Linked DNA regions of Struthio camelus. The protein of the gene in region 3 purifies or fractionates together with the protein of the main gene of each other region. This does not show direct contact. Links are inferred from orthologs where the notes say so. Each region holds a gene or a part of one and is shown on either strand. Other genes may lie near its edges. The genes, in order: LSG1, TACC1, VAPB and PITPNM1.

The links.
Region 1: the proteins of VAPB (region 3) and LSG1 purify together in Homo sapiens (affinity purification with mass spectrometry; 3 studies listed by BioGRID and IntAct, counting the BioPlex papers as one, with this or other methods). This does not show direct contact. The link is inferred for Struthio camelus from reciprocal best matches to the Homo sapiens genes VAPB and LSG1.
Region 2: the proteins of VAPB (region 3) and TACC1 purify together in Homo sapiens (affinity purification with mass spectrometry; 3 studies listed by BioGRID and IntAct, counting the BioPlex papers as one, with this or other methods). This does not show direct contact. The link is inferred for Struthio camelus from reciprocal best matches to the Homo sapiens genes VAPB and TACC1.
Region 4: the proteins of VAPB (region 3) and PITPNM1 purify together in Homo sapiens (affinity purification with mass spectrometry; 5 studies listed by BioGRID and IntAct, counting the BioPlex papers as one, with this or other methods). This does not show direct contact. The link is inferred for Struthio camelus from reciprocal best matches to the Homo sapiens genes VAPB and PITPNM1.

What each region holds. Positions count from the first base shown.
Region 1 is NC_090950.1:18,428,947-18,436,478, forward strand, and holds the start of LSG1 (large subunit GTPase 1 homolog), read left to right. Parts: upstream 1-4,524; 5' UTR 4,525-4,539; coding exon 4,540-4,620; intron 4,621-4,691; coding exon 4,692-4,809; intron 4,810-5,113; coding exon 5,114-5,234; intron 5,235-5,851; coding exon 5,852-5,938; intron 5,939-6,901; coding exon 6,902-6,988; intron 6,989-7,532. UniProt on the Homo sapiens protein: Functions as a GTPase. May act by mediating the release of NMD3 from the 60S ribosomal subunit after export into the cytoplasm during the 60S ribosomal subunit maturation.
Region 2 is NC_090968.1:7,287,481-7,294,936, reverse strand, and holds the start of TACC1 (transforming acidic coiled-coil-containing protein 1), read right to left. Parts: upstream 3,011-7,456; 5' UTR 2,897-3,010; coding exon 2,739-2,896; intron 2,724-2,738; exon of another isoform or gene 2,246-2,723; coding exon of another isoform or gene 2,217-2,245; intron 1,878-2,216; coding exon 1,762-1,877; intron 1-1,761. UniProt on the Homo sapiens protein: Involved in transcription regulation induced by nuclear receptors, including in T3 thyroid hormone and all-trans retinoic acid pathways. Might promote the nuclear localization of the receptors.
Region 3 is NC_090959.1:13,524,990-13,531,836, reverse strand, and holds the start of VAPB (vesicle-associated membrane protein-associated protein B/C), read right to left. Parts: upstream 3,009-6,847; 5' UTR 2,983-3,008; coding exon 2,922-2,982; intron 1-2,921. UniProt on the Homo sapiens protein: Endoplasmic reticulum (ER)-anchored protein that mediates the formation of contact sites between the ER and endosomes via interaction with FFAT motif-containing proteins such as STARD3 or WDR44.
Region 4 is NC_090946.1:5,609,272-5,617,245, forward strand, and holds the start of PITPNM1 (membrane-associated phosphatidylinositol transfer protein 1), read right to left. Parts: upstream 3,009-7,974; 5' UTR 2,965-3,008; intron 2,709-2,964; 5' UTR 2,691-2,708; coding exon 2,613-2,690; intron 1,455-2,612; coding exon 1,240-1,454; intron 1,077-1,239; coding exon 955-1,076; intron 1-954. Other genes in the region: CDK2AP2 (cyclin-dependent kinase 2-associated protein 2), read right to left, coding at 5,027-5,094, 5,702-5,834, 5,916-6,016, 6,196-6,304. UniProt on the Homo sapiens protein: Catalyzes the transfer of phosphatidylinositol (PI) between membranes. Binds PI, phosphatidylcholine (PC) and phosphatidic acid (PA) with the binding affinity order of PI > PA > PC. Regulates RHOA activity, and plays a role in cytoskeleton remodeling.

The DNA.
Region 1 (7,532 bases), on a different chromosome or scaffold from region 3:
ACGGGGAGGAGGAGGCACAGGACGCAGCACGTCCCCCGCTTTCCCCATTGATCCCAGGCCACTTGCAGGAACGGCCTTTCCAAACATGCCCTCGCTGGCCAGCCCTGTTCCAGCGGCTCTGCAGACCCTGGCGGGAACGCGTGGTGTCCACAAGCCTGGCAGCAGCCCTCCTGGCTGAGATAAACGCCTCAAGCCCATCTCTTCCTATGCTCGTGAAACACTACCTTCTGCAGCTGAAAAGGGAGAGATTCCAACAGAAGCAATTTTGCACGGAGCAAAATTGTTTTCCGGTTCTTTTAGGGAGGTGTTTCTGGGGGGTTTCTTAATATATCTGCTCTTCAGGATCGAGCTGGTAATACCGCTGAATCAAGCCTTGTGAAACTACATGAATAATGAATGGCCATCACATGAATATTTTAGAGACACAGTCCTGAGATCTCCCAGTGCTGCCTTAGAGGAAAATGGAGGAAAAGTTGTCCAGAAAGAACAATGTTTCCTTTAGGCAAAATGCACTGGTGTCATTGGCTTTTGAAAACGAGCTCCTGCTACTAAATAATTCTCAGGATTTGCATCAAAAACTGGAGCAGTGGTTTTGCTCCGAGGCAAAAGAAGTTGGGAAGAGAGCCAGTCTTTTTGACATGAGAAGCTGCTTTCACCGCACTAGGAGAGCAGACTTTTACTTCATCTATGCAATAGTTTTTGCAAGAAAAGTCCCACAAGCTATGGCCACCTTCCAAAAAGCCGGCAGTACTTGGCACTCAAGTAATGTAGTTCAAAGAGGCTGTGAGAAGTGTTGGTGATACACAGGTGTTGCCTTTTCTCCAGGGACGGTGCTGTGCTCCAGCCCAAGCACGGGTCTGCGCTGCCAACGGCTTTCTTAGAGCTGAGCTGTAAAAGTGAGGCCCAGTAGTGAAACCTGCGCTCGCTTTGGACCGCAGAGTAACGGCTGCTTCGTCCGGGAGCTGTCTGCCAATCGAAAGCTCGTTGAACTTATCGGCCAGATACCGCTCTCCTCCGTGCTCTCGTCAGCTGTCTAAGCTCTTGACACCCGCACCCGTGTACCCGGGCCGCCGCTGTATAACTCTCGAGACAGTATCTCTTCTTCAGTGGCCTTTCTCACGCTGGGTGATAAATCCATACACGAACACATTCTAGGAGAAGCAGATTGTCGCGTTTGACGAAACATTTCTTGCTCAGGTCGGCGCAACGGAATAATACGAGTGGGATGAGAAATGCTGCAATTAAGAATAGGCAATGAAGTATCTAACTGAGGCTCCGATGTCTCTGTCGCTCGGATCACCTAATCTATATGTGTTTCAGCGTTGTTCTGCTCAAAGCAGTCCTCGCTGACGCACTGTGCTGCTGGCATCAGCAAACAAAACTAATTCCTTAGGGTTTACGAAGCTCCTAGAAATATATCTGTGGCAAGAATGAGGGCAACTTGGGCATTTCTTCAGCAGCTCCCACCAAGGTGGCAGATAATATCCACAGTGACCAGCCGTGCAGCGCTTAGGACTGGAAACGAGGAATTGTCACAAGTTAGCAATGCATGGGGGGGAAAAAAAAAAATCCCACTCAAAATTCATAGATCTTCACTTTTCCAGTTACCATCAAACCTCACTGCCTACAGGGTGCGCACAGAGCGTTGCAAGCCAGTCCTGGGCAGGCCGCAGGTAAAGCGTGAGCCTCGCTCTAACCCAACGCCCGCTGCCGGCTCGTTTTCCCTCGGCTCCAGCTCCGTCTGCTTGTCTCTTCAACAGGCGGCTGGCAGGGGCACGGCCTGGCGCTTGCCACGCCAGCGTTTGCAAAAGCTGAGGACCCTGGGGGAGGACGCTGGCCCCGTGGAAGCGCTTGGGGGCCATCGGCAGTTGGATCAGCGCCCCACGTGCTAACGTCGCTGGCCGCGTGCTGCCCTCATCCCGCGGGCGTTCGCTGCAGGAGCGGGCAGCCGCCGGTGCCGTCCGAGGCGGACGCGCAGCCCGGGGGCCCCGCGCAGCCCGGCGTCGGCCGCTCTGCGTTGATGACCAGGTCGCTCGCCGAGGAGCCGCGGCGCCAGGCCTGCGCGGAAGGGATGAAAGAGTTACCCGTCTCCCTGGCCAGCCTGGGAACGGCATCACGCGCGCCTTGGGCGTCGGGCTGCCAGCGCTGCCAGAGCCAGCCGGTGGGGAAAGGCTGGGCTGTCTGGCTGTTCTGGTTGATGGTTATGCAGTGTAGAAGGAAGGTAATTTTTAACTGAATTATTAAAGAAATACGGTAATGAGTGCTCATATTGTTGCCTCTGTGCCTGCAGAAAGGCCTGAAATGACTTTATTAAAGCCAGGACTTGATTAAAAATGAATCTATTAAATCACCGTGTGCTGTCTGCAGCTCACCATCCTTCCATTGAAGCACCTCTCGTAATGAAAACGCAAACACTGATTTCCCTTTCATCTTCCTCCTTTGCCTTTTGGAAGAAGAGGAGGGAACGGGGCAGGTTGTGTATGATGGGAGAGCTTGGATGAGCATGGCAGGGATTCAGATTTGCTCTGGGAAAATTGTGCTTTACAGTTGCCGACTCTGGAAAGGAGAATAGAGGAAGTGCTGCATCTTTATAACAAATGTTTATCATGGGGAGGCATCGCGTGTGTTAAGCATGAGAGAAGGCCATTTCTACCCACCAAGCGTTATATGCGGGCATGCTTCTGAGGACTAGCAGCCACAGTTAAGAAACAGCTTTGCCTCTGAATGTAGGCAGCGCCTGTATGTTCAGGGGGTGAGATAGATTATTCTGATTACAACTAATACGCACTACAAAGTTATAGTAAGAAATGTCTGGCTTTAATCCAATGCCCATAAAGGAGAAATGGTTCATAAATCAGTTCACCTCAAAAGAACAGGTTGAGTTGTTTATTAATTTACCCTTCTCCCCCATCTTGACCTGGACCCGTTGCAATGGCTGCTATTTGAACCCGTCTGATGATTCCCTGGCTGGGCAGGCAATATCTTCTGTGCTAAAGATATGTGAAGGCTCGATATTAGCAGCTGTCTCTTAAAGCACTTTGCACATCTGCATCCCTGAATCCCTCTTTGTTACTGGCCCAGAAACAGGGAGATTATTGTATTTGGCTTCTTGAATGGAGCATCGGACAAAGGTGAATCAGCAGGCTGGTCTCGCTTTGTGTTTTACAAGGCGGAGAAAAGCTTTAAGTCCATAGGTCCGTTCTGGCTCACGGGGTTGTCACCACCGTTCTTCATGTCCGTCATCTGTTGTGCGGCAATGCCTGGAGACCGGCGACGGGCAGCCGGCGCCCCGGCAGCAGCGCTGCGTGACGCCCGAGGCTCCTCGTCCCAGCGAGCCTGCAGCTTCCATCGGGAAAAGGTACCCAACCTGCCCGCCCGACGGCAAGGGTACTAGCACGAAGGCGCGGCTGCGGACCTGACTGCCTTACTTGCCTCCTGGAGACAGCGTCGGCGCAAGGCCAAGGCGGTGAGCGGAGCCGGGCTGCCCGATTCGCCCCTGCCCACCGCTGGGCTCCCGGGGACGGCTGCCGCCTCCAGCGGTCTCCTAGACCCGCTCCAGGTTTAACCTGCCCGCGTAGGCGCGGGGCTGGCACGGCAGCCCGGGGTGCTGGGGCCAGAGCTGGTCCGCGGCGGACGGCGGACGGCGGGGCCGTGCCGCGGGCGGGCGGTCAAGGCAGCGCGTGGGCAGACGGGCGGACCGGCCAAGGGGCTGAGTGTGGACGGACGCACAGACAGAGGGCACAGCTGTCGGTGGACACACGGACGGATGGACGGATGGATGGACAGATGGATGGATGGATGGACGGATGGACAGATGGATGGGTGGATGGACGGACGGATGGACGGACAGACAGACGGACAGACGGATGGATGGATGGATGGTTGGATGGGCGGATGGACAGATGGACGGATGGATGGGTGGACAGATGGATGGACGGACGGATGGATGGGTGGACAGATGGATGGACGGACGGATGGACAGATGGACGGATGGATGGACAGACGGATGGATGGATGGACAGACGGATGGATGGGTGGACAGATGGACGGATGGACGGATGGACAGATGGACGGATGGATGGACAGACGGATGGATGGGTGGACAAATGGATGGATGGACGGATGGACAGATGGACGGATGGATGGACAGACGGATGGATGGGTGGACAGATGGATGGATGGACGGGTGGATGGATGGATGGGCAGATGGACGGACAGACGGACGGATGGATGGACAGATGGATGGATGGATGGGCGGATGGACGGACGGATGGACGGACGAACAGACGAACAGATGAACGGATGGATGGAGGGGCAGGCCAGCACGCGCACCCACGGCCGGCCCGAGGGGCTAGGAAACGCCATGGCGGGGCAGGCGAGCCGGGCCGGAACGGCGCTGCCCGGAACCTTGTTCCGCGGCGCGCGCGGGGCGGCGGAGCGCTCAGTGCGGTGCTCGCCCGCCGCCGTCCGGACGAGGCGGGCAGGGGGAGGCCCCGCCCCTCCACTTCCGCTTCCGGCGGCGGCGGCGGCGGGTCCGGCATGGGCAGGAAGCGGAGCGCGGGGCTGGGCCGCTGCCTGCTGCGGCAGCGCGGCCCGGAGCGCCGCGGCGCCGCCTCATGGGTAGGGCGGGGGGCGCGGGGGGGGGTGAGGGTTGGCCCGGCCCGGCCTCACGGCGGCGTCTTGTCCCGCAGCTGCACGCCAGCGAGGTGGGCGGCGAGCGCGGCGCGGAGCGGCGGTCGGCGGCCGAGCAGAGCCCGCTGGAGGAGTTCCTGGCCACGGCGGAGCTGGCGGGCACCCGCTTCGTGGCCGGTGAGCGGGGCCGGGAGCGGGAGGGGTGCTGGGCTGGGGCCGCGGAGGGGCGTCCGGGCAGCGGGGCTGGGGCCGGGGACCTGGGGCTGGCGGCCAGGAGCGGCTCTGGGAGCAGAGAGGACCCGGGGCCAGGGAGAGGGGGCTGGGGCTGGTGTGGGGCAGGGGGGGCCCGAGCCAGCGGGGGCCGTCAGCAGGGCTGGAGCGGTGATAGCGGCCGCGGGTTGGTGACGGCGTCAGCGGGGCAGGGGCGAGGAGAGCAGGTGCTGTGGGTGACTGTGCCTGGTCTCTCTCATCCTTCCCACAGAGCGACTGAACATCCAGTTTGTGTCCGCCCAGACCCGCACCGGTCTCCTCACTGCCCAAGAGGCCCAGCGTGTCCGGCAGCTACATGAGCAGAACCGACAGTTCCTGCGCATCCCTCGGAGGCAAGTCGTGCTCCTCGCATACGGACCGGGAGCGGGGCTGGACTGGGCCTGGCTGTGCTGAGGGAGCTCAGCCTTTGATGGCTGTGAGCCACAGGACTGTCCTTTGCTTGCCAAACCCTGTTTTTGGGGAAGCAACTACCTGGTGTGCGCAGACCTGCTGTAACCCGCAGCTATAGGTGCCTGCCTGCCGCACAGGTACTGCCAGCCCCTCTGCCTTGGTTTTGTGGGATTCCTGCTCGCAGCCTGGCACTGTTGGAGCTGGTGCCTCTGTGCCCCAGGCTGTCTCCATCTGTCAAGCCTTTCTGAAGCTCCATGTGTGCTGGACAGAGAGATGAATCCCCTGCCTTAAATGCCCTGCAGATGTTAGCTGGGGAAACTAGCTCTGTGAGATCTGTTGCGTATGGAATAGCGTCCCATCACTTTAGATGGTGGAGTTCAGAGGGAACAAGGAGTACTTCAAACTGCTGAAAACAGGTGCATGCACGTGTAACAAAAACCGTCTCAGTGTAGCTGAAACATGTGTTGCCCATGTTTTCCCTGGATGCTTATTGTACTAACGTTATTGGTATAACTGCACTAGTGTTTCTGACCACTTATTCTAAAATGCGATTGTTAAGGCCGTACTGGGATAGCACAACCAGTGCAGAGGACTTGAAGCAAGCTGAGAGAGAGAGCTTTCTGGAATGGAGACGACAGCTTGCCCAGTGAGTATGCCACTTGTCTCTGGTAAGTAGCGAGCGGGATGAGGAGATGAAAGGAGCAGGCGATTGTGTTTATCTTTGCTGGACACGTAAGGATAATCTCGTCAGCTGCTCACTGTACTTTTTCTGAAAGGCTGGGCATCCCAGCCACGGTCCAGACGCACCTTTGTGGTGAGCTGACCGTAGTTTTGCTGTGCGTGCAAGTTCTGCAGTGTTCACAGTCCACATTCTTGTAGTACCTACCCATACATGCTTCCCTCTGTTTTTCTGAGTTGTGTCATCTAGTTTTTTAAAGGCAGTGCATTCAACATTGCTGCTGTGATTAGCTCATGTTCAGGATGGGGTGTGATGTCCTGCCCTTGCCTGTTAGGTGGAGGTGTGATGAATATGTGTCTTTGAAGAGTAACAGTGCTGGTCTGAATTTCTAGCTTGGTGCTGCTGGCCCTGCATGTTGGTGGCTTTTGCTAGCCCCACGCTGCCTCTGCTGGTCTGGAAAGTTGTTTCTGCACACAGCGAACCCAAGCTGGCCCTGAGCAAGCTCACTCTGGCTCTGGTAACAGTGAGTCAAAACTTGTTTAGAGCCATTTCGAGTAGTGTTTCCCAAATTGATTATTTTTACCAGAGCGATTACTGAAGGATAGCTGGCATTTGGGATGTCTCCTTTGATCTGGTTCAAAATTGCATCTCTGGAATGTCACAGGTAGTCTATTGATGAGCTTGTGCCCTTTCTGTCATTTGTCGTTTCTCCATTGATATGGTCAGGAGCCATTGTGTCATCAGTGAACCAGTGGCGCTGACTCTGATGTACCTGGACACGATTTGTTTGTAAAACCAGCAGAAACGGTGCCAAGTATTAGAGTCTGATTTTGACACCTTCCTCTGAAAGGAAAGCCTTCTGGATCTAAGAACTGGTGTGATTACTGTCTGACATGACCTGAATATGATGTCTTTTTTCTCTTTCCGTAGCCTTGAGGAAGAAAAAAACTTAATTCTCACCCCATTTGAACGAAACTTAGAATTCTGGCGTCAACTTTGGAGAGTCATTGAAAGAAGGTAATGAATATCACTCTCTGCTTTTGAAAATTATGTTTAATGTTTTTTCCTGCATCGAACCAAAGCATTTGAAGCAATTATTAAGTGTCCAAGCACAGGGAAAATAAAGAAGTACTGTTAGTAATGTTTCGTTATCAGCACTGAAGTGGTTTTGTTTTGAAGTGATCAAAATATGTTGTTGGAAAGAGGAGCAAATAGCAGTGCGGTTCTGGCTCTCAGCACTGCAGTTCTGCTGGTAGGTCACTGTGTGAGTCTCCGCGAGCTCTTCAGCAGCTGCAGCTCTGGCCTCTTCCAGTAACTCTGTGTGGGAGGTGCCTTTGAGAATGTCTTTTGCCAACAGTAACACTTGCCCCTCTCTCAGCCGCACAATCATACCGTGACATTCAGGGGCAGGAGACAAGGGAGAACATCTAAGTAACGTTTGTAAAGAAAGAGCCTCTTGATCTTTGGCTGCTTGCCATGCAGAGAGATTGCAGCAGTGCACAAAAGCCTGTCACATCACAGAAATGGCTTTGTTTGCTCTGCAGAGCTGTAATACAATAGG
Region 2 (7,456 bases), on a different chromosome or scaffold from region 3:
TCTCCATAAAGCGAGCAGGAAAGCAGCCCGCCCTGGGGAGCACCCTGCCTTCGGCTGCGCGGCCCGGTAACGCGCGCGTGCCGTGCCCGCGGCCCACTGCTGGCCAGCCCACTCGTGCGCTGGGTCCTGGCTTCGGCCACTGCTTTTAGGAACTGCTCTTCCTAGGAAACACGCACACAAAACATACTTTCTCAGACTTTTGGGACAGTAACTCCCCAGGGTCTGAAGCAAAGCACTTTCTCGAACAGAAGCTCTTGCAGAAATGATCTTAATTCCTGCAAGGGAATTGTCCTGGTAATGAGGTCCCGGGGTGCGGTCTGAGCGAGCGAGCGCATCCCCGAAACCCGGGGTGCTCCAGGAAGCCGCTGGGTGCTGGTAAGCGACCGGGCGCTGTTATGAGCGTTGGAGAGATGCCCAAAGTCGAACAGAGCAGGGGCTGCCCTGCAGCCCGGGGCAGAGCGCGGCTCAGGGCACCCGCCCGGGGGCTCCCGGCCCCGGAGATGCCGCCGGCGCCTGGGGCAGGCCTCCCTCCGGCCGACGCTCCTGGGCGTTTACGGACGTCTCCGCGTCCTGACGCTGCCCAGTCATCCTGCTCTGCAGGAAGAGCGGATGGAAGGAGGGGGCGTCCCCTCCCCGGAGCCCTGCCTCCGATAACCTCTGCGCTCGCTAGGGATGCCAGAGCTTCGGAGCCTCGTCGCTGCGGCACGAGAACCGGCTCCCGCCCCAGGGGCCGGCCCCTCCGTGCTGCCAGCTGCGAGACCCCTCCAAGGGGGGGATAAAGCCAAAGGGGAGGGAGGTGGTGCTCAGAAAGGCCAAGGGTTAACGGGGAGTCGCGCACAGAGACGCAGCAGCCTGTGGCGAGACGCACAGATAAAGCGGCTACCGCACGGGCTCCTGGGGGCAAAGGAAATCCCCTGGGCTTTCCGAAGGTCCCTGGCAATTTCTCCAGTAATGGGGTTCAGCAGTCTCAGGTTTTCACATATTTAACAGCAGATACGCAGGGAAGAGGCCAGGCTACTAACTCTAGGGAAAAAGGATCTGTGCGATGAAAGCTCGGCTGCCGACAGCAGAACGCAGCATCGCGTCAGCTCTTGTGACAAGGGCAGGTCTCTCCTACCGCAAGTGGCAGGCGAAGCATGCGCAAGCCAGCTCCCGCCGCCCGCCCTCCGACACCCGGAGGCAGCGGGAGGTATTACTGAGCCCGGCAAGGTCTGAGGGGGAAGTTGGAGAGGGCAGTTTAAAAGACAAAATGACTCAACAAAACCCTCTCTTCCTCTAGATCAATCCATCGCAGCCCGGCCGGCTGCAGGCCCTGCCTCTCCGGGCACCGCCTCTGCCGGGGCGGCTCCCCAAACCCGACTTAGGGATCTCTGCCCTCTGCAGCCTCGCGCACGCTCACCCCCTATCTCGGCGTGGGGACAGCAGGAGAGCGTGACCGGTGATTGCAAAACGGCCTCATGATAATTTCAGGCTGCACAGGCGAGAGCCGAGGGGAGCCCAACCGATTCTTTCAAGCCTGCAGTACAGCCCCCTCCCCTCCAAAATGATTCAGTAAAGTCAGCATTTAACGTCAGTTAAAGAACAGCCTTTGCAGAGCACACACAGCCCCCAGTACTGGCATTTGAACCATCCAGACCATTAACCACAAAAAATGCAGCAGGCATTATTCAACACAAGCAACTTCTCCTCCCTGACCCCACCCCGCTTTTCTGCATCCGGAGCAGAAAACCGAAAAGCAGAAGATGCACGCTTGCGCCTTACCTTGGGTCCCAGCCTCCGGCTCTCGCGATCCCAGCGATGGCTCGCAGAACTCCTTTAGGGGCGAGCGGATCGGTGTTTCTGCTTCGGGGGTCTCAAAATTACCTTCGGAGTCCGAGCTGCCGAGGGGGGGAAAACAGTGAGGAATTACCGCTTTCCTGGCTAGCTCCGACATCCTTCACATGCCCTACACATCCAGCCAGGCCGGCTCCTGGGCCGGACCGGCCGACCCGGAGAAGGCATCCTGCGGCTGCTGCTCTTCCGTTTCCAGCAGGCCACGCTAGCAAACGGAAAAGGTAGAGAAGGTGAAACAACATCACAAGCATCCCCTTGCGCAGCCCCGGCCGAGCGAGCCCGGCTCCTGGGCCATGCGTCTGGAGCACCCAGGTGTCTCCCCCCGACATTGCTCTCGTCACACCTCCCCGTCACCCCGGTCTTTCTCAGCACCCATTACTGACCTCCACGGACGTGGCAGCCTAGCCCACATCTTCCTCTACAGCTCCAGAGGGCTGGAGCATTAGGAAGTCCAGAAAACAAGCCTCCATCTGCCTGCCCCACGCCTGCTAGCATCTTCACCGAGAGCCCAGAGTCTCCCTCTGTTCCCGCTGCCTTTCCCTAACGCTAACAGTTCCCAAAATCCACAGAGCTGAACGCCCAGGAGCCACGCAGGTTCCCGGCGCTGCAGAGGAAGCAAGCCGGAGCAGCGCAGCGCGCGGGGAGCGGAGGGGACGGCGGGCTCGCAGGGGCAGGCCCGCGCGCGGCACAGCCATGACGCTCGCGGGAGCAGCTCCGCATGCAGGGCGGGCGCCGCAGGCAGGACACGGAGCGCCACCGCCGAGCCTTTCCGCCCCCGTCCCCGAGAGGACGTGCCGTGCCAAGAGTGCCAGCGCGCGTGCAAGGCAGCGGGGCCGGGAGGTTAACGGGCAGGGGACGAGCGCAACCACCCGAGAGCTCGCGAAGCAGGGATGCCGCGTACTTGCCTGAAACCCAGAGATTTGCTCTCCGCCTGCGAGTCGTCCTCTCCTCCTCGCTCTCCCCCACCATCCTCACCTCCAGCAGCGGCCCCGCCGCGCACGGCGGACCACGTCCACTTGGCCCACTGCACCGGCGAGAGGATCTGCCAGGCGCTGAACGCCATGGGGCCGGCTCCGCCGGGGGGGCCCCCCCGAGGCGGCGGGCGCCGGACGCCCCCGAGCCCGGCTGGCGGAGGCGGTTAAGCGCGGAGCATCGGCCGCGCCGCGCGGCGCCTTCCTCCCGCGGCGGCGGAGGCGGAGGCGGGCGGGCGGCAGCACCGCCCCGCTGCAGCCGCGCCGCTCCGCTCCGGCCTCCCCGCTGCAGCCGCCCCGCTCCGCTCCGCGCCGCTCCGCTCCGGCCTCCCCGCTGCAGCCGCCCCGCTCCGCTCCGCGCCGCTCCGCTCCGGCCTCCCCGCTGCAGCCGCCCCGCTCCGCTCCGCGCCGCTCCGCTCCGGCCTCCCCGCTGCAGCCGCCCCGCTCCGCTCCGCGCCGCTCCGCTCCGGCCTCCCCGCTGCAGCCGCCCCGCTCCGCGCCGCTCCGCGCCGGCCTCCCCGCTGCAGCCGCGCCCGGCGCTCAGCGCGGACCCGCCGGCGGCACGTTCAGCCCCTTGGCGCGGGGATCAGCCGGCTGCCAGAGCCGGCGCCGCGCAGCCCCGGCCCCCCCGGACGGTACTACTGGCGGCAGGGAGAGCGCGGCCGGCCCGGCTGCCCGCAGCGCGCTTCCCCTGCGGCGCCCGGCTCGGTCGGACCTCGCCGGGAGACGCCGGCGGGCTGCGGGCTCGCCGAGCTGCAAGCGCCGGGCGGGGAGGAGGGAAGAGGGAAGCCCGCAGCAGCGTCCCCCTTCCCCTCCCACCCGTGCCGCAGCGATGGGATAGGGCTGGGAGTGCATAATCGCAGGCTTTCGCTGTGCTACATTTGATTGCTTTGCCCCTCCTCTCCCCTGCTCCCGGTCAGGCTGTCCAGAGCAGCAAAACGCCCCAGATGCCGAGCGCTCTCCAGGTGAGCACCTGCAGGCCGTGCCGGGAGGGCTCCCCTTCCGCTCCCGCCGCTGCATTCCTCGCACGGAACAAAGCCCAGCTTAGGAAACAGGCTGTGCACCACGGAGACCCTAACCCAAAAACTCTCAAAACCACTTATTTCTGCACAAATGCTAAACATGGAGGGGCATCTCCACTGCTCCCTGTGGGCAGGTTAATGCAGGCTGACAACCCACAGCCAGGCTTATGCACATTGCTCCTAAATCCCAGACAGATACCAGAGCCTAATTCACTGTCGCCCTCCACATGCTCACGTCAGGATGCTCCACTACCCTTTCGTGCCCCTCACACCACACTGGGCCAAAGGAAACCCCTGTGCACCAGGGCAGGGTGACTCTGAAACCAGATCTCCCCTCCCTGATTTATCCCACACTTATCCAGGGTTGCACCTGTGCTGTAACATATCCCACCACGAGGCGAGCTGCAAGATTCCTTCCACACCGCGTAGGCCAGCAAACGCTGCGCCCCAGCTGCAGCACCGCAGCGGCCGGCCCAGGCACGCGAGGTCCTCATGCACGGGGTCCCCATGTGGCCAGCAGGCCACAAGCAAGCCTTGCTTCCCGTGCAAGAGTGGCAGCCCAGATCAGGCGGAGCAGAGAGTGCTCCTGAGGCATCCAACATGCGGAGAAGCAAAGGAACAGGCAGCAGAGACCGGGAAACACCTGCCCCTTTATTTTCCAGGGAAATGCCGACTTCAGTAGCTCTGGCTGATGCTATATCCTTCCATGACAGCAGATTTATTTATTAAACTATTGTTGTTTAAGAATAACAGCAAACAGTCCCTGAAGAACTAAATACTGGCATGCTGGCCTCCCTGGGGCATCCTCCCCTTCTGGGGGCTTCGCTCTCCAGGTCGTCACCTCCCCTGCTTGCTAGAGAGAGAAGTGTTAACGTTAGCAGCCTTGCAGCGGCCGCAGTGCCAGGAGGCGCGTCAAGGGCTTCGGCAGCAGATCTATTGCAGGCAGCGGCATTACTGGCGTTGGACAGTTGCTGCCGCAGTGCCCACAGCTTCCCGGAGCCGGCGGCTTGCCCAGACCAGGTGAATGCATCTGCACTGTGCGCCCAAGGCTGGCTCCCCACCCGCTGCCCTTGGCGGGTCCGAGGAAGCTCTGGGAAAGGGAAGACTACTGTCCGGTTGTACAGCCCAGCCCAGCTCATTGCAGAGAAGTGCTATTGGCCCTCAGTAACTGCACAAAGTGCTCACGTGGCAGGCCAAGACCACAGCTTGATGCTTTTCTGTGAATCATCAGCTAGCTCTGCGCGCGAGGAATGCTTTTGCATGGCTGAATCAGCCGAGACCCACCCATCTGGTCTGGCTACCTCGCTCTAAAACCAGCCTCTATCAGATACTTCAAAGGGCCTCATTCCTCGTCATGGAGCATCTCAAATAACCTCCCTGCAGGGAACCTTTCTGCCTAGCTTCCATCTGTTGGTGTCTTTATTAAACAGATGCGTCATTGCTGCACTCTTTTATGGTCAAGACTCTGTCAAAAGAAAATCTCTTACCCCCCCCACCATACAACTTCTCCAAATTTCCCCCAAAACACCTCTGGCTCTGGCTCAGGCAAAGCAGAGGTGCTATCATTTGCATACTGCCACACGTCCAAGCAGTGATCTGATGTTGCACCCACACACCCAGCCGCGATCTGCAGAGAGCCGAGCCAGATAAAGCTCACACCTGCTTCACTGAGCCACAAGCGGACTAAGCGCCTTATTAAAGCTTATCCAAAAAGCAAGAGGCTGAAGCTCAGCATCCTCTTGGCTGTGTCTGCTTTGAGCAGAAACGAGCAGCCTCCTGCTTCCCACCATCCGGAGTGGCAGAGCGCAGGCTGATTTCTGCAGATGAATTTTACATAAGGAGATTTTTAAGGCATGTGTTGTGGCATGAATTGCTTTGCAGCACGACACACTGCAACCTGAACTCCTCCTCCCTCTCCCTCTGTCAGTCATTTCATGAACCTGAAGACCCAGCTACAGCATCTGCATCGCTGCATGTGAAACCAGCACACGGCTGCTCGAGTCCTGCCGGCGCCGCACGGGGAAAATGGAAATGTGAATGGCGAAGGAGCAGCAGCTGGTCTGGGTTGAGCGGCTCGCCTCTGCTGCAGAGAGGAAGGGTCTACATCAGCCAAGAATATAGATATTTACTTTTATAACCCCCCACTTGTTGAATGAGGGAAGCGGGACACATGAACCAACCGCAGAGGAAATTAGCGGCATCCTTCTATTGTGAAGGCTGCACAAACCGCTGCCGAGAGAGGACCCTCCTCCAGCTGCCACCGACGAGGAAGGAGCAGGGACAGGAGCAGCAGGACTGAACGGCACCGCACGGGCACGGGCTGCGAAGCTCCTGACCTGCACGCCCTGGGGCAGGAAGATATTGGAGCAGTTAAAGAGCAGAGCCTGCTTCCGCTTGCCATTTCCTACGAGCAATTAAGAAAATGCCTCGAGTGGCATTTTCCAGCTTGGCTCCGAACCCAGCCGGCAGCAGATCAAACACGGAGGAGATAACCTGACTTTGTCAGCCAGGCCAGCGGCTCTGGCTGCCAAACGCTGCTTGCATAGTCAGCAGGCACATTTCTGCAGAGCAGAGAGGAAGCTGACCTGTTCAAAACAGGACCTGCCAGCAGTTTCCACCGCACAAGCCCCGTGGCGAGCTGCAGCCTGCACGCACAGCAGCTGGACAGGCCGTCCTTCGCACTGCCGTAATCCCTCACCCCCGGCCGGGGCTCGGCGCTGCACCAACGCGCAGCGGGCTCGGCGGCACGCACCGACGTACAGCCTAGACCGTCCTGCCCAAGGTGCCCCAACCTCTCCCATTGGCAGCCTGGAGAAGCCAATTCGTGGGACAGCAGAGGCTGGTGCTGCCCCTGCGGGCTGCCCTCGGCCGGGGCAGAGCGCAGCCTGGTGTCCCCTGTCCCAGGAGACCCGTCATGGGTGCCCTGCTTCGTTTGGCAGACAAATAGCTCTGCTTCCTGGAGCTGCCTCTTTTTAAACAAGTACCTCGGGTTTTTATACTTTGTTCCTCTGAAAAAGCAAAGACTCTGGGGGTAGGATCCAGCACGTCTCGGGCTGCCTCAGGTTCACAGCCCCCTTCACGTCAACAAACGTCACGAGAGCACCAGTCCCGCTCGCTCCTTCTACAGACAGCCCCAGCACACGGCCCGCGAGGCAGCTCACGCCACCCCTCCGTGCAAGAGCAACGGTGACGCTGCAACAGCCTGTGACTGCCTGCACCGTCCTCGGCAGAGGCTGCAGCTACCGGCCATGCCTGGACCCTGTTGGCTTTGCAGCGCACGTGCTTTGAACTCCACTCCCCCCTCCGCCAATAACTGCAACAATAATTAAAGAAACAAAATGCATGTTTCCTGTTGACTTCTGCAGCTGAGAAAGCTGGCGGTCTGTGTCGGGACAGGTTCGCCAGGGTGCTGAGCACCTGGCCCTGGCATCATCCAGCATAGCTGGTGCTCTGTAAGGGGAGGGGACCAGTAAAACTGGCACGTAGGAGTGGAGCTGCCACCTTTTCCCATTTCGTCCCTCTCTTCTGGATAGTTAAATCAGCCTGACAGCGCCCAGCCCATGACAGTCATCCCTGACATGGGAGCATCCCCGCGGCCCCAGGCGACCACAGCCCTGGGGGTGCTGGGGC
Region 3 (6,847 bases):
AAAAAAAAAAAAAGAAAATAAGATATCCCATGTTCATGTAACAACAACCAACAAGATGTGTAACTGAAAGATGTATAACTGATTTTCATAGAATCACTTTTCATCAGGGTTAGTTTCAAACTACAGCTGTAGCTTTCCACCCAGGGGCTATGCATACAACCCTTCACATTTGAAGATCACAGTATTATCTCAGAATTTGCCACGCTCCATTTCCTATTCAAACACCAGCGCTGTATCAATCTTTCCTAAGAGTGCCATTCTGCAGTGTAGTGCATTATAATATCCCAGATCATTTTGGTAATAATACAAAAGCCTGAGAATTAGGTCAAAAGAACATGATGTCAACTCTATTTACATTTTAAATAAGCTTCATCACAATAAAAAAACATGGCACATGCTTGTAACAGCAAATCCAGGCTGATCACTTTTTGTGCATCACGGTACTTTCTCTAAGTTTCGGTTACTGTAAGAAGCAAGTGATACATGTTACACAGCTACATCATTTGCACAGAATCTTAATAAAATTCTTCTCCTCTTAACCAAACCTCCTTGCATCAGCACCACAAGTTAACAACCCTCACACACGTGTACTTCTAATGCAAATATGACTGCCGTAACCTAGTTTGGCGTGTGAAAGGAAAGTTAGCGCGAGTGTCAACAGAAGCAAAGATTTGGTAGCAGAGGCTTTGGCAGAAACTTTCAAACCAAAGAGGCATAATCCTCTGCAGACTTGCACGTGCACATACTACTACTATATCTTCAGTATTAACTGCTTATGTTAGTTGGGCACAGTCCCACGGCCACGTTAGCCTTGCAGCAGTCTGTCTTGCTCTCATCCCCATCGTTTACCTGTGCTACTTGCACTGTGCTTGTCGAGCTGACAGACAGTCAGGTTATGGAACTGCTTAGGCTGAAAATTAATCCAGTAACAAGAAAGGGTGAGGAGGGGGTGGCAGCGGGAAAGAGAAAAAGGAAAATCAGTTTCCAGGCAGACCGTGCAGCACTCAGAAAACAGCATCAGGAAAACTGCATCTTCCTGCACTACAGACTTCTGCCAAATTAAGGCAATGAGATCTCACATTTAGTAAGCTAAAGCTGGCATGTCTAGGTGTACGCACTGCAGTCACACTTTTCCTTGCCATGCTGACAGGTCTGTTCAAAGTAATTAAGGCACGTGCCTAACTCTCTGTGTCTGAATCCAATGCAAATTCTCATCTGCTTAAAGCTGGGCATCCCCTAAACAATTTACTGAACCGGTGCCTTTCAGAGCAAATGTGCTGCAGTAGCACTCGATACAATCTATTCACTGAAGTGATGTTAAACTGGCAATCATTTTGATTAACAAGGCTAAGAATAAATTCTCAGGAAGTTGCCCAAGTTATTCCCAGAATGTTTTAGATGCATTTTCATCACCTTTCCCCAGACAACAATTTTTGCACTCCAACTCAGTAACACAGACATATATCCAAAGGCAAGGTAATTGGTAAAGGCAGAAATACAACCAGTGCTTCTGCTGAGGCAATCCCTCTTGCTCCTTTGTGGAAAGTAGCAGAAAGCAAGAATAGGAGGAGAAAGACTTATTTCACCACTGTCTAATCCTGTCCACGTGTCAGACGGAAGTCATTAATCACCTGGCATATACTGGTCAGCCACAGAAAAGTAACCACGGAGCCTTCAATAGGTGGAGATTAGGAGAGGGGGAAACCTAAATTGTTTTGTAGCTATTCTCAAGAGCCCAAATCCTACTTATTAGCAAGATGTGTCCTGACTGCTGAAAGTCCACATGGACCAACAATTCATTCATCCACCGGAAGAGTCAGGTTTACTATGTGCATGCATCTGGGGGTGGAAGTACAGGAGGTGAATATGACACTTCCCTTTCCCGTCACAGACCTGCTGCTGGCCGCAGGGCATGGAAATGCCTCCCCAGCAGCTTCCTCAGCCCCTCACACTGGGATGGGAACTTACTGCAGAGCCTGAGTAAGCATTAGCACCCCCAATGAAACAAACATCCAAAAGCTCAGGCATGCCTCCATCTGCATGTTTCAGCCTTTCTACTTAGAGTCCTTCTTACCATCGCACCTCAGTTGTTTCTCAGTTTCCTTATTACGCCTCTGACAGTATCTGAAGTCACCTTACTGTTTTGTTTCCACGTTTTTCTCCCATTTTATCTATGTGGGACTGTATCAGCAACAGAGATAGTCGAAATAAAAACACTGATGGCAAAACCAAAGACTGTCAAGAGAGCTCAATACTAGGTGCGTAACCCGACTTACTTTAAAGTCATATATAAAGTTGATGACCTTTAAAAATAAACACTGAAGTGAAAAAAGCTGAAATGTCAAGCAAGACGTTTTGAGCTGTCAGCCAGGTGCCTGCGAATCAAGAACATCTAAGATCCAATCAAATTCTCCCACCATCTTACTTGTCTTTAAACAAATCACTTAAGGGCTTGATCTTCTGCTATTAAAAGCCTTAAGAGTTGACAGCGACTCCAAACAGAAGCAGGTTTGGACCCTTATAGTTTCTCTCCCTGTGAAGTCAGGAGAATACTTACCTAATTACAGAGAATCTTGTGAAGATTAGTGTTTTAAAAAGCACTGAATGCCAAGTTTTAATCATCATCATCATCTGACTCTGGAGACCTTTCTAATTAAGTGAGCATCAGCAACTTTTGAAATCAAAGTCGTCGAAGAATGAAAAACAAGAAGTGCCTCTGTTGCATAAACATCTTATTTCAAAAGTAACTTACTGAAAGGATCCAACAATCCCAATTTGTGAACTACTTTTAAGAAAAACTCAGGCAGTTCTTAATTCCTGTGTAAACCATTCCTGTGTAAACCCTTTCAATCTCGGCCCAGATTTCACATACAAGCACCTAGAAAACTGTGCCCTTGTGGGATCATTTTCTTTACTCTTACCATGACTATCCTCACCCAAAGGAGCCCTTGAAGTGAAGTGGAAGGGACGGGAAATGGTCATTTTCACTTTTGCTGTGCCAAGCAGTAGAAACCTTGATGAAAAAATTATTACAAAAATTAAAATACCATCCAAATCGCTCCCCGTGCATTAGTTTATGCCAAGGATTATTTTTTAAAAATTATCTAATTGATAAAATAATCCCAGACTGAAAAAGAAAACAGAGAAAAACAACTATACTACATGTTCCACATGCCAAACTTGGAGCAGGGTTTACAGTTTGTAAATTATTCCATTTGGATGGATTAATCAGTGTCCTTCTCCGGCCTGTTTTGGCACAACCTGTTTTTGCCAGAGCATGTCTCATGCTTAATGGGGGGGAAAAAAAATGACACAAACACAAATATGAGACTGAAGACTATTTTCAGGATATCAATTAGTATATAATGTTTGTCACCTTCTACATCTTCAGAAGAGGATTATTAACTGTTTGACTTCGCAGTTTTAAGAACTATGAAGCCATACATAAGCTTGCCAAGAGAAAGGAAAGAACACGCCCTTCAAGTAATTTTTGTAAAAGGCTCATTTGCTTGTGCTGATTTCTTCAGAATTTTATTACATCCTACGATTATTTACAGATATTGTAAGCAACAAAAGCACGCAAGCAGAAATATCTTTTTCTGCATCCTAAACTTCAGAGAGATTTATTTCTGCATACAATGGAATAAACAAGGGACTGACAGAAGAATTGGCTACCTTTCAGAGGTATATCTCTGTCTCAACAGTGCTTTCACATCCTGAGTCCCAAACACACCACATTACATTGCTCATTCCATCCGCAAATATGATCTATACCACCTCTCTCCAGGTATGAAAAAGAAAATAGTGGCATACTCTCTTTTGACAGCGGAACAGTTACTACAATGTCATGGTTATTGAAAGAGAGGCAACAGTGATACCTGCTTATTCTACATAGCCAGAAGCCTCACTCAAATGGGCTGGCGGATGTTGAAAGGATACTGAAACTGAGTCCCACACCTACACCGTTTTACAATTTGTGTTGTAAGTAACTGGATCACCAGGCAAACCTCCCCCTTCTCTATTTTTTCCACCCCTCGTTGTGGAAACCAACCAAGAAAAGAGGATTAAATTTAGAACGATGAAATCTTTAATCCATAGCATGATGGCAGGAGGCACTTCATTTGCAGCTGAGAGAACTAGTCACTAAAGGAATTTAGTAAAGAGATTATTTTCATAAAGCACTTCTAATAACGTGAGATAAAGTACTGCAGGCTGCAGCAAGACCCAATCTATAAAAAATTTTTTGAGGCCAGATGAATTAGAGTTGAGGTAGGCAATTTTCAGAGCAGTTAAAACGCAGGAAGGACAGACTCAGCCAACTGAGTCTGGAGTGTCTTGCTAGTGTAAACAGTCAGACACTCCTATCCATGTGCATTTTACTCCTACACTGAATTAAACACGGAAATGGTGATTTGCTTTACAGGCATTTTCAATGGCAGCAAAACTGTGACAGCTGTTTCAGACTGATGGCACAAACTGCCCTCTGCGACAAGGTTGCCCAGCAGGCCACGTTTCCAAACTCAGCAGTAGTCCAGGCATATCAGAAAATATCCTATATGCCTTCTGCAGACAAACCGTTTCCATTTCGGTCTACAAGGCAACGGTATGAAAGGATTTATATATTTAATAAATATTGGGTCAAAAGCCCTCTGGCAGATTTGGCATGAGTCTGGCCCTTACTTTAGACAAACTGGTACGTAAATCCTGGTATACAAACACAAAAGAGGCTGCTTTTCTGCCCTGGTTATCACGTGGAAAGACAACGAAGGGAGGCCTCAGCGCTTCTTATTGCGGGAACTGTCTTCACAGTGCAGGACTTCCTCCTTCAGAGAGGAGAGAAGTTGAATTGGGAAAGAGTCCTTAATCTAACCATATTGTCACTTAAATCAACGAGAATTTACTCGGAGAAAAAAATGGCTTCTAGCAGCACGATGATAATGGGAAAGATCATACTCCCTACAAAAACAAAGATGAAATGTCAGTCTGAAACAACAGCTGTTACCACAAGCAAAACTGTTACAAACATCATCAATAAAGCTTTCAAAGCCAACCAACTGCACTGACAGAAAAAGTAAAAAGGCTGTTATTGTACCGACTAGTACAACTGACAGAGTTGCTTTCTATAGTTATTAATTGTCGCCAGCAGGGAGCAAACACAAGACCAATATGGTAACAAGAGAGTGAAAAATGAGTGCGACTGTAAGATGTGGGCAGAATTAGCAAGGGTCATTTGATCCCTGCATTGTCCCCAGCTAAGCAAAAAGCTGTGTTTAGAGGCATTCTGAAAGCAAGAAAGAGAAAGTCTCAGGTCACCTAGCTTCTACAAAAATGACACTGCAACATATGTAGAAGTTGCTCATTTGACACAAAACTCATCTGATGCAATACCTGCCAGGGCTGGATGCATACAAATCAAGCTGCTTTTAAAAATGGATATTTATTCATAGATGTAGGCTGCCCTAAGGTTGGACAGTTGGATCATTCACTATGGTGATTATGCCATATTTCCAGTTGAGTTTCAAAGCAGATCTGACAATCCATTCAAAGATTCACACTGCAATTTTTACTACAATCCAGGCCTAATTCTGAATATGGCACAACTAAACAAAATTCAAGCTGATGTTCAAACGTAGCTAACCTATTTAAAATGAAATCAAGCGTTCCTGCACAGCCACTGTTGATAAATTTTTCATTTATAAAATCTGTGGAGTGAGGAAAAAAAGAAATGTGATTTCCAGTGAGAAGGAACTACCAGAAAACTCCTGTGCAAATCTGTACTCCTCATCGCTCTTTCACAAGTGACACGACACTGCACAGAGCATGCACGGTAACAATGTGTACACAGTTAATTGCTAAGCATCTGTGTGAACTGCATCTGCTATGATGCTTTACCTGTGTCATCATTCTGACATGATGGCCCCATTCCTCGAGCTTATGGCAGCCACCTTGTACCTTGTGTTTCCATACACATTTTCAATATAGTCTGTTCCCGGATATATTTTCTGGAGAGATGAACAGAAGACAGACCCCACCACCCAAATCAGACAGGCATTCTGCCACCTTGGTGGACTTTAAATAATAAGCTCAGAAAACTGGTTTTTGCACATCACAGAATCACAGAATGGTTGAGGTTGGAAAGGGACCTCTGGGGATCATCTAGTCCAACCCCCCTGCTCAAGCAGCATATCTCCCAGGATCATGTCCAGGTGGGTTCTGAATATCTCCAGCAAAGGAGACTCCACTACCTCTCTGGGCAACCTGTTCCAATGCTCTGTCACCCTCACAGTGAAGAAGTTTTTTCTCAGGTTCAGGTGGAACTTCCTGTGGTTCAGTTTCTGCCCGTTGCCTCTTGTCCTGTTGCTGGGCCTCATCCTCTTGACACTCCCCCTTCAGATACTTGTACACGTTGATGAGATCCCCTCTCAGTCTTCTCTTCTCCAGGCTGAACAGGCCCAGCTCTCGCAGCCTTTCCTCAGAGGAGAGATGCTCCAGTCCCCTCAGCATCTTCGTAGCCCTCCGCTGGACTCCCTCCAGTAGCCCCATGTCTCTCTTGTACTGGGGAGCCCAGAACTGGACACAGTACTCCAGGTGAGGCCTCCCCAGGGCTGAGGAGAGGGGCAGGATCACCTCCCTCCACCTGCTGGCAACACTCTGCCTAACACACCCCAGGATCCCATGGGCCTTCTTAGCCACAAGGGCACACTGCTGGCTCATGCTTAACTTGTTGTCCACCAGGACTCCCAGGTCCTTTTCTGCAGAGTGTGATTGTAATGGTTCCATAGCTCAAACTGAGCAAGTGTTTCCACCTTAAACACCTCTTTTAAAAGAGGGGTTAAGATTTTAATAT
Region 4 (7,974 bases), on a different chromosome or scaffold from region 3:
AATCATTTCCTCCGCGTGCCTATTTTAAGGCCTCCATTTTAAGAGGCGGCGCAGCACGCTGCGCTCCAGCACCTAAAACGACGAGCTCTCCACCGCCCAGAAAGGGAGATTTCAGTGACAAGCGCCAAAACCTCCCTGCGATAGCTGAATCCCACCTGAGCATCCAGGCTCTCCCACCGCAACCCCGCTTTCGTGCTTCCTGGAAGCACGAGAGTGATGCAGGGAACGGGGTGGGGGGTGGGGGGGGAAAGCAGGGAAGCGAGGAGCAGGGCGGAAGGAAAGGGACGGGGGTGCTCGGAGGGAAGTGATTTCATCTGTCTCCTCCCGAGACTCGCACCCGTTTTCTGCGGCCACTTTGAAGGAAGGGAGTCGTTTCCAGCTCCCCCTCTTCAGCTAAGCCCTGGCCTGTCCCTAAATCCCCTCCAAGAGCCCTCTGTGGGTTCCCACACGCACCTGCTCTTCTTGGAGAGGACACAGGAAGGCGAAGCTGCGCCAAACGACAGGGGAGAGGGGATGGGATAAGGAAAGAGGAGGGAGCAGCCTGCCACCAGCTCCGCTGCCAGCACTGGGGTGTCAGGGCCTGGGAAGGGAAGAGCTGGAAATACAGATACAGCCCAGGGAAGGCGGCAGGGGACAAAATCGTCCTCCGTTAACACTTCTAACGCGGAAGCTATTTCATCCGTGCGGCCTGAGCAGGGAGATCGGGGCACACGTGCCTCCCGCTGCCGCAGTCCCCACAACTCAAGAGACCCCAGGGTAAGTAAAGCCCGGCTTGTTAAAGACGCTGAGCCACGAGCCACCCGGAGGCACCCGTCCAGTGCCGCCGGGCACCGCAGGAAGGCAGCACGCACCTCTGCCTCGCTGCGAACTAGTTCCTACTCAGCACCCCAAGCGAGGCTCGCAGCGGCATCCCTGCCCCACGGCGGCCCGGAGGCCAGCAGCGGAGACGCCTACCTAAAATCCTCTGCCTCTTCTCGGCCGCGCTCAGGTTGAAGACGTTCGTCTGCTGGCCAGAGTCCGGCCGGTAGTAGGTCTCAATCTCGATGGAGAACTTCTCCACAAAGGGGCAGGTGTACCTGCGGGAGGAGCGGGAAGGGGGCTGAGCCGGACGCGGGGTAACCGAGTCCAGCAGCTCGCCCCGCTCTGAAGGCCACCCATCGGGTCGGTGGGCCCCCCGGGAAGCAGAGACAGGGTGGTCCCCCGCGTCGGGAGGCGCGCAGCCCCCCGTCGGCAGCCCACCTGGTGCGGGTGTAAGGGTAGGCGTTCCAGGACTCTTCCTCCACCTGCAGGGCAGCCTTGGGCAGCAGGGCCCGAAACCAGCTGGGGATGTGGGAGCCCACGTGGTAGATCTTGTGGGTGTACTGCCCGCTGCCCCCCGGGCCGTCGCTGTAGGGCCGGTTGGCCAGGATCTCCACGCCGCTGCCCTCTCCGCTCGACTCCTCCCGGCTCTTCTTCTGCAGGGCAAGGGGTCGGCCCGAGCTGCACCCCCCCCCACTCCGCCACGGATCGGCCCCCCCCCCACCTTACAGACCCCCCCCCCTCCCCGTTCCTCACCCAGCCTTCTGCCCCCGCACCTCCGCGCCCGCCCCAGGGAGCCTCGCACCCCCGAAGCCCAGCACCTCACAGGCGCCCGCAGCCACCCACGCCCCCCCAGATCCCTATTCGCCCAGGCAGCCGCCCCCCCCCGCCCCTGCACCCCCCGACACCCGCTCCAGCCCCACGCTCAGCCTTGTTGGTCTGTGTCCCTCACCGTCCCCCCCCAAACCTCACTCCCACCCCTGTACGCATAGCAGGCTCACTGGTGCCCCACGGCCCTGCACCCCCCCCCCACCTCCGCGCTCAGCCCCACCACCCTGCACCCCCCACCTCCACGCTCAGCCCCATGGCCCTGCGCCCCCCACCTCCATGCTCAGACCCACGGCCCCGCGCCCCCCCCGCCTCCGCGATCAGCCCCACCACCCTGCGCCCCTGCACCCCCTCGCCTCCGCGATCAGCCCCACCACCCTGCGCCCCTGCACCCCCCACCTCCCCGCTCAGCCCCACGGGCCCTTGCACGCCCCGCCGCTCAGCCCCACCGCCCTGCGCCCCTGCACCCCCCGCCTCCCCGCTCAGACCCACCGCCCTGCACCCCTGCACCCCCCCCGCTCAGCCCCACGGCCCTGCACCCCTGCACCCCCCGCCTCCACGCTCAGCCCCACCGCCCTGCGCCCCTGCACCCCCCACCTCCCCGCTCAGCCCCACCGCCCTGCGCCCCTGCACCCCCCACCTCCCCGCTCAGCCCCACCGCCCTGCGCCCCTGCACCCCCCGCCTCCCCGCTCAGCCCCACCGCCCTGCGCCCCTGCACCCCCCACCTCCCCGCTCAGCCCCACCGCCCTGCACCCCTGCACCCCCCCCGCTCAGCCCCACGGCCCTGCACCCCTGCACCCCCCGCCTCCCCGCTCAGCCCCACCACCCTGCGCCCCTGCACCCCCCACCTCCCCGCTCAGCCCCATGGGCCCTTGCACGCCCCGCCGCTCAGCCCCACCGCCCTGCGCCCCTGCACCCCCCACCTCCCCGCTCAGCCCCACGGGCCCTTGCACGCCCCGCCGCCCCCGGAGGTGGCCGAGCCCACCTGGATCATGTAGAGCTGAGCCACCTGGTACTCCTCCAGGCTCATGGGCAGCAGGATGTGGTACTCCTTGATGAGCATGGCGGCGGGGGGCAGCGCCTGCGGCCGGCACCGCCGTCAGCCCCCGGCCCGGCCCGGTCCGGCCACGGCCCGGCCGCCGCCGCCGCCGCCGCCGCCGCCGCCGCCGCCGCCGCGCTCCCGGCCCCGCCCCGCTCCCATGGCAACGCGCCCCCTCGGCTCGGCCCCCCGGCCCCGCCCCGCTCCCATGGCAACGCGCCCCCTCGGCTCGGCCCCCCCCCGCTCCCATGGCAACGCGCCCCCTCGGCTCGGCTCGGCCCCAGCGCTGCCGCCGAACCTGCGCTGCTCCGCACAGGCCCCCTCGGCCTGTGACATCACAGCCCGTTCCCCTGGAGACGGCTGTGACGTCGGAGGCGGGGGGGGGAGGAGGAGGAGGGCGGGTGGAAAACCGTGACATCAAAGCGGGGAAGAGGCGCTGCGCCGGCAGCCCCGTCCGGGGTCGGCCGGGGCCTGAGGCAGGGCACCTAGAGCAGGGCGGTGGGTTAAACAGCCGCGGCTCTCTTGGCCTCTCCTCACATGAGAGATGCTTCCAGTCCCTTAATCGTCCACGTGGCCTTCGCTGGACTCGCCCTCAGCAGGTCCATGAGGAGCCCGGACCCAGCACCCCAGATGTGGCCCACCTAAGGCTGAGCAGAGGGGGAGGACCACCTCCCTCGCCCTGCTGGCCACACTCTTCCTAACACAGCCCTGGATGCTGTTGGCCCATGGTCAACCTGGTGCCACCACGACCTACAGGTCCTTCTCCGCAGAGCTGCTCTCCAGCTGGTCGGCCCCCAGCCTGTCCTGGCGGCTGGGCTTATTCCTCCCCAGGAGCAGGACTGTGCGTTTCCCTTTGCTGAACTTCATGAGGTTCCTCTCCGCCCATCTCTCCAGCCTGTCGAGGTCCCTCTGGGGTGTCAGTCAGCCACTTCTCCCAGGTTTGTGTCATCCATGAACTTACGGAGGGTGCGCTCTGTCCCATCATCCAGGTCACTAATGAAGATGCTAAATAGTATCAGCCCCAGGGATGCACCGCTCGTGGCTGGCCTCCCACTGGACTTTGTGCCACCGATCACAACCCTCTGAGCCCGGCAGCTCAGCCAGGTCTCAATCCACCTCAGCGTCCGTTTGTTTAGTCCGTGCTTCAGTGTGTCTTACGGGACGGCGCCGAAAGCCTCACCACCATTGAGATAAACAGCGTCCACTGCTCTCCTCTCTGCCGCCAAGCCCATCATCTCATCGTAGAAGGCCATCAGGCACGACTTCCCCTTCCTAAAGCCGTGCTCCAACCGCTCCTCCCTGCCTGCGCCTCTCCTACCCTGCCTACCTCTGCCTCTTCCTGCCCCACCAGGCTCACCTTGGCCTCTGCCAGCACAGCCACGGTCCGAAAGCAGCTGCTGCCCTTGCTTTTCCCCAAAGACATGTTCCTCACCGGTCCCCTCTGCCTCATTGCGGGGTTAACGCGGGAACACTGGACTCGGTCAAGCCCCTTTCTTGGTCACCCACACCTCATAGCTCTAAGGGAGCTCTAAGATGTCCCAGCCTCCTCAACCTGCAAACGGGCCTTGTTCTCATTCCAAAAATAGCCCTGCTCTACTAAAAATCCCTTTCAGCTCAGTGCTCCTCCTGCAGCCCCATCATCCCCTCCCCGCACACAGAAAGGACGCCATGTCACCTCCGCGTCCCCCAGCGTACAGGGTGGCTGACCCCACCACCACTGTTGAGCTATTCAGCCCTCCCTCCTGGAGCAGACAGCACCCACTCCCCAAGCGCGGGGCAGGACACACGCAGTGGGGCAGCACGATGGTCTCCTTGCAAAACCCGTAGCTCCAGACTCGGCCTGGCAGGCTGCCCTAGCGCCTGGCCCACCGGCGTAGCCTGCAGGGCTATGCCACGCACGTGGCTTATCTCATCGTGAAGCGCAGGGCTGGGCTCCAGCAAAAGAGGCTCTCCTGACCCCAAACGCGAGATTAAGCCGTGCCAGCTCCTCCACAGCTTCCGGGCTGAACTGGGGGAGCAGCTAGCCTTGCCACCTTGCCCATAGCAGAGGGGACGAAGCACAAGGGCCAAAGGCAGAGCAGAATCCCAACAATTTCCTTTATTTATAAAAACAAGCATTTATAAAGAGAGAAGAAAAGCCCTGGAGGTGCTCGCAGCACGCAGCAAAAGGCCGGCCTCCCGGCGCCGCCTAGCAGCGGGGCAGCTGCCGAGGATCAGGCGGCCGTCAGCTAAAAAGGTCTGTACGGAGCGAAGGGAGAACCAGGCTCTCAAGACACTGATTGGTGGCAAGGTTCACGGGGATGGACGACCTCCAGGTCTCGGATGCAGAGATGGACAGAAAGGTCCATAAAGAGCGGCTGTTACGTGCGTGCGTTTCGCTCTGTCTCCGCCAGGCACTCTCTCACCAGCGCCCGAGCGTGGATGATGCCTACGGGGAGAAGCACAGGGGACACCGCGCGTCAGCCGAGTCCGTAACCGAAGGTCCCAGCTCTGCGTGTGTGTCCCCCCCCCAACCCCCCGACATGTTCAGAGCAAGGGGAGAAGGAGCCGGTGGGGTAAGCAGAGCTCAGTTGTACCCCTTCCCCTCCAAGCCTGTGCGGGACGGAGGTTCTCCCGCTGCTGTCACAGCGGAGACTAGCAGCAGAGCACGGCGTCCCGCATGGAGAAACCCGAGCTTTCAACCCGGGCCAAAACATCTCCTCTGTCCCCCCCACCGCCACCCCACTCGGGAGAAGGGAAGGGAGAGAACCGCAAGAATAACCAGCTGCCGCTCCAGCCTCCGACGCCAAGGGAGACGCGCCAGCAGGGCGGCACCGCCAACGCGCCTGGCGCGGCGACAACGCGACGGCGCGCTCGTACTCGGAAGATGACAGCCCCTCAGACACCCGGAGCAGCGCCGGTCCGCTGGCGACGGCTCAGCGGGCTTCGTGCATGCAAGGCGGGGGGGGGGGGGGGGGCTTTTCCCTCTGCGACAGCGGGCCCCCCAGCTGGACCCCCCCCCCGCCCAAAACCGGAGCGTCCGGCCGGCCCCGTACCCCGTTTCAGCCGTTCCATGGCGCTCTTGCTGCCCGCGTAGGTGGGCCGGATCTCTTTGCCCATCTCCTCGATGACGGAGAGCAGATCCGTGTAGGTGCTCTGGGAGCCCTGCGACCCGGGCGGCTTCATCGCCTGCGAGGGATGGGGAGGAGAGGGGTGAGGGTGGCGCGGGCAAGGCCTCTCGCCCCGCTCCCGCTCCCGGTCCCAGCTCACCTGCACGTAGCCCATGGACGGCGGGCCGAAGTCATTGAAGAGGGGCCGGAAGGGGGCAGCGGCTCCAGGCACGGATCCGGACGGCGACGGGACGCTCGTGGCTGGCGGCGCGGGCAGAGAAAGGGCAGGTTACCGGCGAACCGGCTGCCGCGGCCTCCCTCCCTCCGACCACCTGCCCCCTCACCGGGCCCGGCTGCGGCCTAGCATCCCCGGGGGGGGGGAGGGGGGGAGGAAGCCGCTGCCCCACGGTTTTCCCGGTGTGTGGGGGAGGGGCTCTCACCGGCGGGCGGGGCCCCCGGCCCCGGTGGGGCGGGGCTGGCGCTGCTGCTCGTGCTGGTGCCGGCGGTTCCGGGGGTGGCGGGGGCGGGCGCGATGGGCTTGTAGGACATCCCCGACGGCGCGCGCCGCTCCCGGCTGCCCGGCCCGCGCGGCGGCGGCGGTTCCGGCGGCGGCGGCGGCTCCGGCGCCGCGGGTTGGTGGGCGGCCCCCGCGCGCGCCGCCGCCGCCGCCGATTGGCCGGCCGGCGCGGAGCCTCACGCCGATTGGGCGACGCCGCCGCTCACCGCCCTCCCCCCCCTCCACCTCCGCGGTGATTGGGCCGCCGCTTTGCCCTCGCCACGCCCCGCCCCGCGCCGGGACCCGGCGCCACGGGGTCGGCTGCCCCCACCACCCCCCCCCCCCGCAACCGTCCGCTAAGGGCGGGTGGGCGCCGGGGCCGCGGGAAGCCGCGCCGGCTCGGCCGCCCTCGGAACGCCACCCGGCTCGGCTCGGCTCGGCTCGACGCTCCGCTGCCCCCCGCACCCGGCGTGACCGCTCGCCCTGATGACGCCGCCACCGCCTGTGCGCCTGCGCGCCGCCCCGCTGACGTCACCGCGTCGCCTCCCTCCCTCCCCCCCCCTCACCCCGGTCACCGTGGAGACCCGCGGCGTCGGCTCGGCGCGGGGGGAGGGGGGGGAGGCAGCGCTCCTGACGGGACCCGCCGCCTCCTCCCTCCCCACCGGCGGCCTCGCAGCGGTGTCGCCGCCACCGAGTTTGGGATTGGAGACCGCCTCCCCCCCCTCCCCTTCTTCCTCGCCCTTTCAGCCCCCCCGCTGTCTTTCCCACCGGCCCCCCTCCCGGCCCCCCCACCTCCACTGCCGGCTGAAGAACGACCAGGATTTTATTCTCCGTTTCTCCCCCTCGAGGGGTTTACGCCGTCGAAGAGGCCCAAGCGCCGCCGAGGAGCGCTCCCTGGCTTCCTTTGTTGGGGGGGGACGGCGGGGTAGGAGGGAGCAGCTCCCAGGGCCCGCACTGGCCCCCAAGCTCAAGGCCGGGAAGCAAAAGGGGCGCCTGGCCCAGGCGAGGTGGGACGGCGGGTAGAGCCGCGCGCACCTGCCTGGCCCTGGGGCTGAGCAGCGCCCGGTAGGGCTTGGCTTAGCGCGCACAGCTCGGAAGGAGGCAGGCCCTGGGCGACGCTGCGAAGTCAGCCCCAAAGTCACGACGCGGCGGCGGCCGGGGGCCGGGGGGGTGGTTGAGGGTTCGGCGTTAACGGTTGGATACCGGGGCCGAAATGAGCGCCGGAGCGGCGAGCCAGCAGGGTCGGAGCGCAGGGAGGGAAGGACGGGGAGGTCGGAGCTGGACCACAGCTGCAGGGCAGGGGATGGAGACGTTTCTCCGGGTTTAAGGGAACGGCAAGCCCGAGTTAAGGTTAGGGTAAGGTTAAGGGTGGGGAGCTGCCAGGTTTGGGGGGCAGCAAACAGGACAAGAGGGGTTGCAAAGCGGGGAACTCGGAGAGACATCAGAGCCGTGCAGCGTAAACCATCCGGCGCAGAGATCAGGGCGAAAGCAGCCAAAGCCCTGCCGAGTCTGCGTTGAAAGGGCTTTGGTGCGGACCCAGGCGCGCTGCACCGCGTTTCCAGCTTGGCAGCAGGGCAGGCAGGCCGCCAAGGATGAGTCTGAGCAAGTCCAGTGCTGACGAAGTGAGGGCCTTGCCTACAGGGCTCGGGCGTTGCGTTGCCCCAGCCCAGCCCGCGCTCTGGGGCTCCTCCCGCGCTGCAGGCTGAGCTAGGGGTCTCCTCTG